Linked DNA regions of Canis lupus familiaris. The protein of the gene in region 2 purifies or fractionates together with the protein of the main gene of each other region. This does not show direct contact. Links are inferred from orthologs where the notes say so. Each region holds a gene or a part of one and is shown on either strand. Other genes may lie near its edges.

Evidence for each region.
Region 1: the proteins of ARRDC3 (region 2) and ADRB2 purify together in Homo sapiens (affinity purification with western blotting; 6 studies listed by BioGRID and IntAct, with this or other methods). This does not show direct contact. The link is inferred for Canis lupus familiaris from reciprocal best matches to the Homo sapiens genes ARRDC3 and ADRB2.

The regions. Positions count from the first base shown.
Region 1 is NC_049225.1:60,961,598-60,966,631, forward strand, and holds ADRB2 (beta-2 adrenergic receptor), read right to left. Parts: upstream 2,834-5,034; 5' UTR 2,685-2,833; coding exon 1,437-2,684; 3' UTR 888-1,436; downstream 1-887. UniProt on the Homo sapiens protein: Beta-adrenergic receptors mediate the catecholamine-induced activation of adenylate cyclase through the action of G proteins. The beta-2-adrenergic receptor binds epinephrine with an approximately 30-fold greater affinity than it does norepinephrine.
Region 2 is NC_049224.1:17,821,068-17,826,125, reverse strand, and holds the start of ARRDC3 (arrestin domain-containing protein 3), read right to left. Parts: upstream 3,244-5,058; 5' UTR 2,904-3,243; coding exon 2,624-2,903; intron 476-2,623; exon of another isoform or gene 461-475; coding exon of another isoform or gene 334-460; intron 240-333; exon of another isoform or gene 95-239; intron 1-94. UniProt on the Homo sapiens protein: Adapter protein that plays a role in regulating cell-surface expression of adrenergic receptors and probably also other G protein-coupled receptors.

The sequences.
Region 1 (5,034 bases), on a different chromosome or scaffold from region 2:
TGTTTAGATTTTGGAACCTTGGATCTGTGGTTCTCAACCAGGGGTGATTTCACCCCTCACGGAGTATTTGGCAAGGTCTGGAGACAGTTTCGGTTGTCACAGTTCAGGGGGTGCTGCTGGCATCTGATGGGTAGAGAGGCCAGAGATGCTGTTGAACATCTGACCATGCACAGGACAGGCCCCCGCCCAGAAAATTACCTGGCCCGAGACGTTAACAGTGCCAAGGCTGAGAAGCCTGGCTGGCTTTATATCGAAGTGAGGAAGAGAGACAGAAGGAGGAGGAAGGTTTACAATCTCGTTTTGAGGTCATGAGGTATTTATTCATCGGTTAAGTGTTTTCCAGCTTTCTCCCTACGACCAATGCCCTTTTCGGTTTCCCTTGGAATGACAAGGGCTCTGTCTGGGTAGCTTGTGCATAAGAGCTTCTTCCTTTATCTTTAAAATGCCAAACCTGACACAGTACGAAGATCTCCACTATATATAGATCTGCAGCCAATATATGACATAAGCAGCTGTTAAACAAGTAGGACTAGAAGGTGAGCAGTGGGGGCGCGTGGAGGGACAAAGCAGATGCCTGTAACTCCGTTTCTGTGAGTCAGTGTTTCTGATGTAACAACACAGAATCATCACCATAGGACCAGGGAGACAAGCTATGCTGACGGCAGGCACAACTGCTCTGAGGCACTGGCATTGAGAGAGATACAGGTTCGCAGCAGCAGAGTCAAAGGCAAAGGAAAGGGTTAAGCAATCAGTGCGTGCCATTCCTGTATCATTCCATATTAAGTCCCTGGGCAGTTATTTATTACAAATAGTTACCTGCGGTTTCCAGTGGGGGGAGGCGACCACACTCCAGTCAAGGGGTTTTGGAGAAACAGGTGCAATGAAGTCATGGTCAAACAATTTATTTACTGTAAACTTTAGACTTTGCTCAGGAACACAACTGAAGCTGCCCCTCAAATCCCTGCCTACAACAACACCCTGTTTGAGCAAATAAGAGGGGCCAGCAGAGTCCGTGTTCACAGCTGAAAGGTCCGAGATACTCAAGATCCTCCAGTGCAAGGGTGCAGGAAGAAAAGACTCCTTCACATACAGATGACCAGCAGCAATATATATTACCCCTAATACTTGATCAATGAGGTAGATCCACGGAAAAGTCATCAAAACATAGCAGCCCCAGGTCCTCTGGGACCAAAGCCCTTCAGACACAAACTTACACGTTCCATGCAAAAAAGGAACTGAACTGTACAACAAACAATCACTCGAATATGCTTTCTCTTTTTTTTACAGCTTAAAAAAATAAAAAAAAAAGGCAGAAGGCCGTCCCTCCTCCTGCACATCTCTATACAATTTTATTCTAAATTTATTACACTCAAGTTAAATAGTCTGTATAGTGTTTCGTTGCGGGGAGGGGGTTCATAAAAAGTAGAAAAGCTGCATTACAGCAGTGAGTCGTTTGTACTACAATTCCTCCCCTGCGAATCAACGCTATCGCTAGGCACAGTACCTTGACGGTCTTCCGTGCCTGGGGGGTCCTCACACAGCAGTTCGCTGTCTTTCTCCTGCCCCAGGTGACATCCACTGTGCTCCCCAGCATAGTCGCTTCTGCTGTTACTGTTGTTGGAGTAGCCATTCCCATAGGCCTTCAGGGAAGACCTGCGCAGGCACAGAAGCTCCTGGAAGGCAATCCTGAAGTCAGGGCTCCGGCAGTAGATAAGGGGATTGAAAGCAGAGTTGACGTAGCCCACCCAGTTTAGGAGGATGTAAACTTCCTTAGGGATGAGGTTATCCTGGATCACATGCACTATGTTGACGATGAAGAAGGGCAGCCAGCACAGGGTGAAAGTGCCCATGATGATGCCCAGAGTTTTGAGGGCCTTGTGTTCCTTCAAGCAGAACTTGGAGGACCTCCGATGTCCGTGCCCGCTCCGCCCATCCTGCTCCACTTGGCTGAGGTTTTGGGCATGGAAGCGGCCCTCCGATCTGTCGATCTTCTGGAGCTGCCTCTGGGCCACCTGGAAGACCCTGGAGTAGACGAAGACCATGACCACCAGGGGTAGGTAGAAGGACACGATGGAGGAGGCAATGGCATAGGCTTGGTTCGTGAAGAAGTCACAGCACGTCTCCTTGGCGTAGCAGTTGATGGCTTCCTGGTGGGTGGCCCGGTACCAGTGCATCTGGATGGGCAAGAAGGAGGTGAGGCCGGACACGATCCACACCATCAGAATGACCACCCGGGCCTTATTCTTGGTCAGCAGGCTCTGGTACTTGAAGGGCGAGGTGATGGCAAAGTAGCGGTCCACCGCGATCACGCACAGGGTCTCGATGCTGGCCGTGACGCACAATACGTCAATGGAAGTCCAAAACTCACACCAGAAGTTGCCGAAGGTCCACATTTTCATGAGGATGTGGCTGGCCCCAAAGGGCACCACCGCCAGGCCCATGACCAGGTCAGCACAGGCCAGGGAGGTGATGAAGTAGTTGGTGACCGTCTGCAGACGCTCGAACCTGGCGATGGCCGTGATGACCAGCACGTTCCCGAACACGATGGCCAGGACGATGAGCGACATGACGATGCCCATGCCCACCACCCACGCCTCGCTCCGCTCCTGCGAGTCTCCCTGGTCCGGCGCGTGGCTCCCGTTGGGCGCCAGCAAGAAGACGCTGCGGTTCGCGGGCTGGCCCATGGCGCGCGGGCCGGCAGGTGAGCGCACGGGCGCCTCAGCGGGCGGACCTCGGGGGCGGCGCCGCGGGCAGCGAGCGGGCGCCGGGAAGCCGCATCCAGCTCGCGGGGTGCTCTGCGCTCGCCCGCGCGGCCCCCACAGCCTGCGCCCCGAGAAGCCGCCCCGGAGTGCGCGCTGCCCGTTATGTGCACGACTTTAGGGAGCTGCCCTCCGCGTGACGTGCGCCAACTTTCCGCCAATGGCGCGCGGGCAGCCCCGAGGGCCCGAGCGCCCCGCCCCGCCCGCCCCGCCCGCCCCGCCCGGCCCGGCCCGGCCCGGCCCGGCCCGGCCCTCGGCTCTCCCGCCCGCTCGCGGGGCCGGCCCGGGCGGGGCCCCGCCGCTGCCCGGCCGCCCCCGAGGCCCGCGGCTGGGGCTGGCGAGCTCCCCCGCCGCGCCCGGGGCTTGGCGCTCCCTGGGGGCCGCTACCTGTGCGGCCCCCAGCACTCGGAAGAAGCAGCGACAGGCAGGGACAGGCACACGCGCACCCCGACAGACAGGCTCAGACTTCTGCGGAGACGCGCCCGTCCAGCGCACCCCCCAAGCACACTCGTGCGCGCGCACACAGAAGCCCACGCGCACAAAGTCACCCCTGCCCAGCGGAGGCCGGGCCAGAAAGCCAACACAGGAGCGCCCAGAGCACAGAACCAGGTAAACAGGACGCTGAGCGCTCACGTGGAGGCAGGCAGAGAGCCACAGACTCGGACGACCCCCTCCAGGTACCGCAAACCCCTCACTGGGGCGCACAGCACCCCCGCCCCTTCCCAGCACACACACGAGCGCGCGCGCGCGCACACACACACACACACACACACACACACACACGAGGCACATTGCCTTTCAAACATTTGGCAGGACCACAGGAGGTGACTTCAACAGCGGCCCGATTTCCTTAGCACACTCACTGTCAAGCACTTTGGGTGCCCTCCTTGGGAATTTGCAGGCATTGAGACACAGGATTGCACCCTCTGGATTTCACTGGGAGCTGGAGCTGGGGTATGCAGGCCCGGGTTTGGGGACCCGGAGAGAGGGTTGTGGGCTTCCATTCGTAATTCTTGGGCGTGTGCTAGCACTCCCTCGTCATCTGTGGGAATGAAAATGAGTTGAAAATAGAATAATTTTCCTTTCAACCTCATCTTCTTCAGCAATCCCGCTGCCACTAGAAAAAAAAAAAAAAAAAAAAAAAAAAAAAGCTTTCAATCTGCCCGGTAGTGTGTTGATTTGTCGGGTTGAGCCATATGAAATTGCCTCTCTTCTGTGGCGTCTGACTTTAAAAGTGGCTGTTTCATATGGCTCAGACCATTAGAATGTGTTAACATTCAGAAAGTTTTGAAACCACAGGACAGAAGATAATTTCTCCTTAAAAAAAAAAAAAAAAAAGTCATACCAAGCCTTCAGACTAGGGTCTTTGTCCATGAAATATTATCCTTTGCATCTGGCATATGACTTGACTGTTAAGAAGAAATTAATTTTCAGGATTTGATTTCACATGTATTAGTAGCTTCTTTGAAAGACTGAAAGTATTTCATGCAGTGTAACCAAACATACTTTGTAGATTACATAATAACATAACAATGGCTAACATTTAGGGAACACTCTGCTATGTGCTTTTCATGCATTATTCCATTTAATCCTTCCCACAGTCCCATGGTGGGGGGAGCACTATTTTTAGCTTTATTCACAAATGGGGCTCAAAGAGAAAAATAGCTTGCCTGGGGGCACGGGGCCAGGCAGTGCCAGAGGCAGGAGGTGAACCCAGGTCTTCTTGACTCTAAAACTCAGAATTGGAATACTCAGGTTCCAGATCCTCTGTCCTAGCACTTTCTAGCTCACCTTCCTTAGGCAAGTCAAAAAGAGAGAACCTAATTTCCTCCTTCTCTAAGTGGAGAATAAAGTCACTCCCACTGGGCAGAGTGAGAATGGAATATATAATAATACATGTGAAAATGCTTTTGCACATGTATGCACCACACAAATATGGGTTACAAATGAAATATATAAAGATCACTTAGTAGTTTAGAATGTGTTGTCAGTCTTCTCTAATAGAACAAATACTTAAGGACAAACGTGAACTTGGTTGTTTACTGTCCAAGTAAAGCTCAGAAACAAAATTTAACCTGCAATGCTCCCTTTAACTTCCTTGACCAGCCAGAGATTGTTTTTGCAAGACAAATGCCTTAAAAAGGAAATATTTCCCATAAAGGTGCAAATATTATGCACCCATAGCTTTCAAAATATACCCACCCCATATTTGCGTTTCCCAAAATTGGCTCTGGTGTGATGCATTTTAGGAAACGGCAGTGTCTGTTATGCAACA
Region 2 (5,058 bases):
CCGGCGCGAGCAGATCCCAGCCGGCCCGCCCGCGCGCCGCCGCCGCCGCCGCCGCCGCCGCCCGCGCGCCCCGCTATACATACGGCATACGTCGCGCGGCGCTCGCGCTCGCGGTCGCGCAGCCTAGCCTGCTGGGGCCGGGGGGCGGGGCGGCCGCAGCGCGGCGCTTCCGCTTTCCACGCCCCAGCCGGTGACCGGTTCGATCTGGCTCGGGCCACCCTGACACCTTTCCAGTGACGGTGAGGGAAACCGGGGCGGGGGGGAGGGCAGGGCCGCACAATGGGGGGTCGGAGGACGCTCGCCGAGGGCCCCCACCCACCCACAGCCACACACCCGGCTTTCCTTCCCGTCCTGGCCCCTCAGGTCCCAGCGAGGTAGCCGGCCTGGGGGCTGCTCGGGGTGGCACACACGCTTTGTTCCAGCTGAGAGGAAACGGGCCTTCACAGAAGCCACCTGACATCTTCCAGCCAAAAAAAAAAAAAAAAAAAAAAAAGCCAGGAAAATGGGGTCCGGCTAACCCTGCCGCGCAAGTTCCCTCAGGATGGGCTGGCCGGCTCCGGGCACGCCCAGCGGCCCAGCGGCACCTGCGAGGCCGCCGCGAGCTTCTCCCCGTGGGCTCGTCCGACCCTGGAGGCCGCAGGCTTCCGCCCCCCCAGCCCCCCAGGAAGGCCGGCGCGGGGGGCGACCCGGCGGGGACCCGGGGGGGGGGGGGCGGGGGCGGCCGCTCCGGAGAGACTCTGCCGGCGCACGCCGGTTCCAAGCCACGCCCACTCTCCCCACCCGCCCGCGCCCAATCCAATCAGCGCGCGGCATCGCCTTAGCAACAGGCTAACAAACGCGGCTCCGCCTATCGCCGGGCGCCCGGGGCGGGGCCTCAGTTACCAGGCTAGTTTGAGAGGTCCCACTTTTAAGTCATTGAAACTATTCCAGCTAAAGAGAGCCCGTCCACGCTTTACGGGGGTCGAGGGGGGGCATCTCGTGGGGGGGGGGGGAGGGGGGTACGGGGTACCCGGCTTTCTTTAGCACGGAAGCACGGAGCCAACTAATGAAATTGCGTTTGTCCCCGTAAGTCGTGATTCTACTTCTAGCTCGGCTGCAAGCCTCAACTCCTCCAAAACCTTTGTTTCTTATGTATTTTATAAAAAGCTGCAACGTCCAGAAAGGTTCAAACGCAAACCCCTGCGTCTGCTTTCCAACAGATACCGAGGCTGTCATTCGGCATCTGCAGTTCTTATCAGTGTTCCTGCTTGGAAAGAGGAGCTAGGAAATTATCTCAGGATGCAGGTTAGCTAAGGTGCAACTGTGAAAACCCAACTTTATATAAAGAACTGATTTCATCTTCGTATTTAATAATAGTGATAATAATAATAATAATGCATTACGTGCCGTAACTCAAAAGCATCCTTCATTTCGACACTTGTCTTAGTTCAATTAGCACTTCCTCCGGGGACGTGGTTTTTAAGATGAAAAAAGGTTAAAGGTGTGCTGTACTTTTTGAAAAATCGGCCCCATTTGAACTAAATACTGCATTAAAAAAGAGAAGCATGAAATTACATAACCAGTTTTAACATTATATTCTTCTTGGGCTAGGAATTAAGTCATCGCCACCACCTGACGCGTGTAACCAATCTGCTGAGAGCAGAACAAGCGCCCCTCCTCACCACCCCCCAGAACTGGTCCGAAACAGGATTGAACCGCTTCTAACAAAGGGTGGAAACTTAGAAAAACAAGCTTAGAGTCTCCTATATTTCCACAATGTAACCATTTAAACAATAGATTGGAAATCTCAGGACCCCTTCTCCCCTTGACAACCCTTTATCTCCCTTTTCCAACCAAAAATCAAATCCAATGTGCCGAATACTTTTCAATTCCATTTGACTGGCACGGGTTTCATTGAATGCACGTTCCAAAGTTAGGCATCCTACTCGGAAAAGAAAATTACTGACCCGAGATGGTTCCTGAAACTGATTTGAAACCTATCCTAATGATAGGTTACTGTCCTTTAAAATAGAGAATGCTTGATGTAAATTTATAAAGGATTTGGAGAGAATAAGGAAAAAACACGTGGGGTGTCGATACCATATGTCAAAATAAGCCACAGAAATCCTTGATCAAAAAACAACGATGAGTCCTTTAAAGTATTTTGCGTGTCAATATTAAAAGCGAAAACCACCTATTAACCCACTTAAAAATGTTATTCCATTTCTCCACTGAAGCTTAGTTTCTAGACCTGAGGTTGCAGAGTATAAGGGGGAAAAATGGAATATTGGGACTGCAGGGTTTAGCAATTAATTTGGAAACTGATTAGTAAAATTACTGGATGGGATTTAAGTAGAATTTACAAGCAAGGTAGAAATGTACTGCAAGTGCGTATGGCACCGACCAAGCCGGGTCTAGAGGTAGTTAAGTGCAGTTTGCAGTCACTTTGCAGATGCCTGCATGCATTACGGCTTAACACACGATGAATGTCAAGGAGAACCAAGATCTTCCAACTTTGCTAATCTTCATCAAGCTGCTATGTGTTACGCCCGGAGTGGAATTACATTAATTCAGAAAAAGCTGAAAAGGCACTTTCCCAAAGAAAAAATCGGTCTAATGAGTCCTCCATAATATAAAAACTTACCTCTTTCGTGTCCAATTAAGATGTCTTTATGGTTGAAATATTCTACTTCTTCAGTGTAATTCTGCGTGTAGGCAGTATTGGAGCCGGCGTTTCTCGATTCGGTCCAGCGTACTTTCGCATGCCCTCTTGCATGAATTTTAAGAGATTTTACTCTGATTTCCCCAGTAACTTCTAAATTCACCCTTCCTGAGACTGTATCCCCACTAGAATACACAGGGACGTTGCTGTCATTAAGACAGTCAAAGCTTATTGTCAAACTCTTCACCTTTCCCAGCACCATGTTTATAACAACAAAAAAAAATCTATAAAAATATAATGTAAGACCAAAAAAAAAAAGTCAAGATCACATATAAAATGTGATCTTCACCTAACACTGATCGATGTCTTTGCCGTGCAAAAAGCTTGCAGGCAAGATCAGTGATTCTTTACAAATAGTTCATTGAGATTTCTTAAAAAGTCAGGGCAGCAGAGCCGCCGCCGCTGCACGATCCCGCTAGTCTCAGTGGTCTCCTTACAAAGACGGGCGGCTGGAGCCTGCCAGCTCACTTTAAGAGCAGCTTTGTGAAAAACAACCCCAGTGCGCAGGCGCACGCCGCGGCTGCTGTCCGCCCTCTCGGCGCGTCCCCGGCTCGCTCGCGGGTACAGTAGGTGCGCGGCTGCGGGAGGGAGGCTCCGGGGCTGTCGGGAGGCCGGGCCTGACTTCTCTCCATCGTGGGCTCCCATTGGCAGGCGGGCTACCGTAAACCCTCGACGTGCGCTCCGGGGCCGCTTACCGAGCTCACCCTAATAGATCCTGAGACAGTGGGGCTCGGGGTGGGGGGGCGGCCAGGGACGGGCGGGAGGCTGTGTGCAAAGCCGGGGAAGGACAAACTGCCGCGTGCACAGCCCGAAGCCTGCGTTCCCGGCACTGCGGGGTTCGGCCCACTGCTCGGATGGAGGGAGGAAAAAGTGATGCGTGAAGGCGGGTGGGGGCAGGGGGGAAGGAAACCGGTTGGGCAAGCGGCCGGCTGCTGAGCTGAGCACGACCTAACGAATTTCAAAAGAAGACGTAATAAAAACCAGACAAGAAATAATGTCCGTAGACACGAGCATTCTTGGCTTGAACTTTTTTTTTTTTTTTTAAAGACCAGTGCGTTGTAGGCAGTTGTGGAAATGAACTCAGGCGAGGCCACAGAAACCTTAGAGGAGAGGACACCGTAAGGAGCCAGAAGCAGAAGCAACTAGAATTTCATCAATGGGTTGTCGTTGTTGTTTTTCAATCAATAGGTTTTGCTTTCTCTTCAACTGTTTTTGTCTTCCATCTCTTAATTAGCAACGAAACGCAACAAAGTTGTTTGCATGATGACGCGGGGGTGGGGTGGGGGGGGGAGGCTGACCACTTCCTAGAAGGAAGAAAAGAGACTTTTTTTTTTTTTTTTTTTTTTAAAGACACCACCTCCGGCTAGATGTGCAGTGTATGACATGATTACAACTCTGTCCAGGGGATTAAAAATAGAGTTCGGCCTAAAAAAGTACCACCTTCTACGAGGCAACATGACACAGTGTTTTAGCTGACATCACTTTCACGACATAATAGATCTTCGTTAGAAATTAGTGAAGGCTGTAACCTGGTTTTTAAAAAGCATGCTTTGGTATATGAATAGAGCTTAGTTTTGTAAAGTTCTAATGTTAATTTTTACAGGCCCAATAGCCTTAGACGGTTCAACATCGTAATTCTCATACTAAGTCTCAAGACAAGTACATGTATCTCTCGATTGTGAACATTTTAGTAACAAATGGCAATGTTTTCATAAAATCACACTGGGGTTCAAAGTGTAAGCATAATCTTTTCTAGATTTTTGCAATCAGAACTTTCTAAGAAATGTAGAAGGGAAAAAAATAAGAATCTGGAACTATATATTCATAAACTGTAGAAGGTTTTTGACTGTATTTAATGGTCTTGCTGTTTTCTTGCTTTTGGGGGAAAGTTGACAAGGCCAATTGCCTTATTTGACAAGGCAGTGATCTTGGCCTCAGCATTATATATAAATATGCAAACTATTTGGAGAGCTAATGGCAAGCCATTTATCTCTAATTGAGTTTAGGTGGTTATGTTTAAAGCTATGAATTTGTGTATTTGAGTGGGGAAAAATAGTCTTTTTTTTTTTTTTTTTTCTCCTCTTGGTTGACACCTGGTGGAAATTCTAGTGGTTTAAGTGCTTGGGATTTTGTACTAGCCTTAGTGGCAGATACTACTTGGGTTTTTTCGCCACCTAGTGGCAAAATGGTGAATTTGCGAAGATGTCAGTTTCTTAGCTTTAAGGTCAAATGATATTAAGCATTCAAATGACATTGGACAAGAAACGGATTTAACCGTGTAGTACACAATGAGGCCTTCATTAATAAATATTGTTTTAAATTCTTAAAGGCTACTTAACAATGGCTGAATTCTTGAG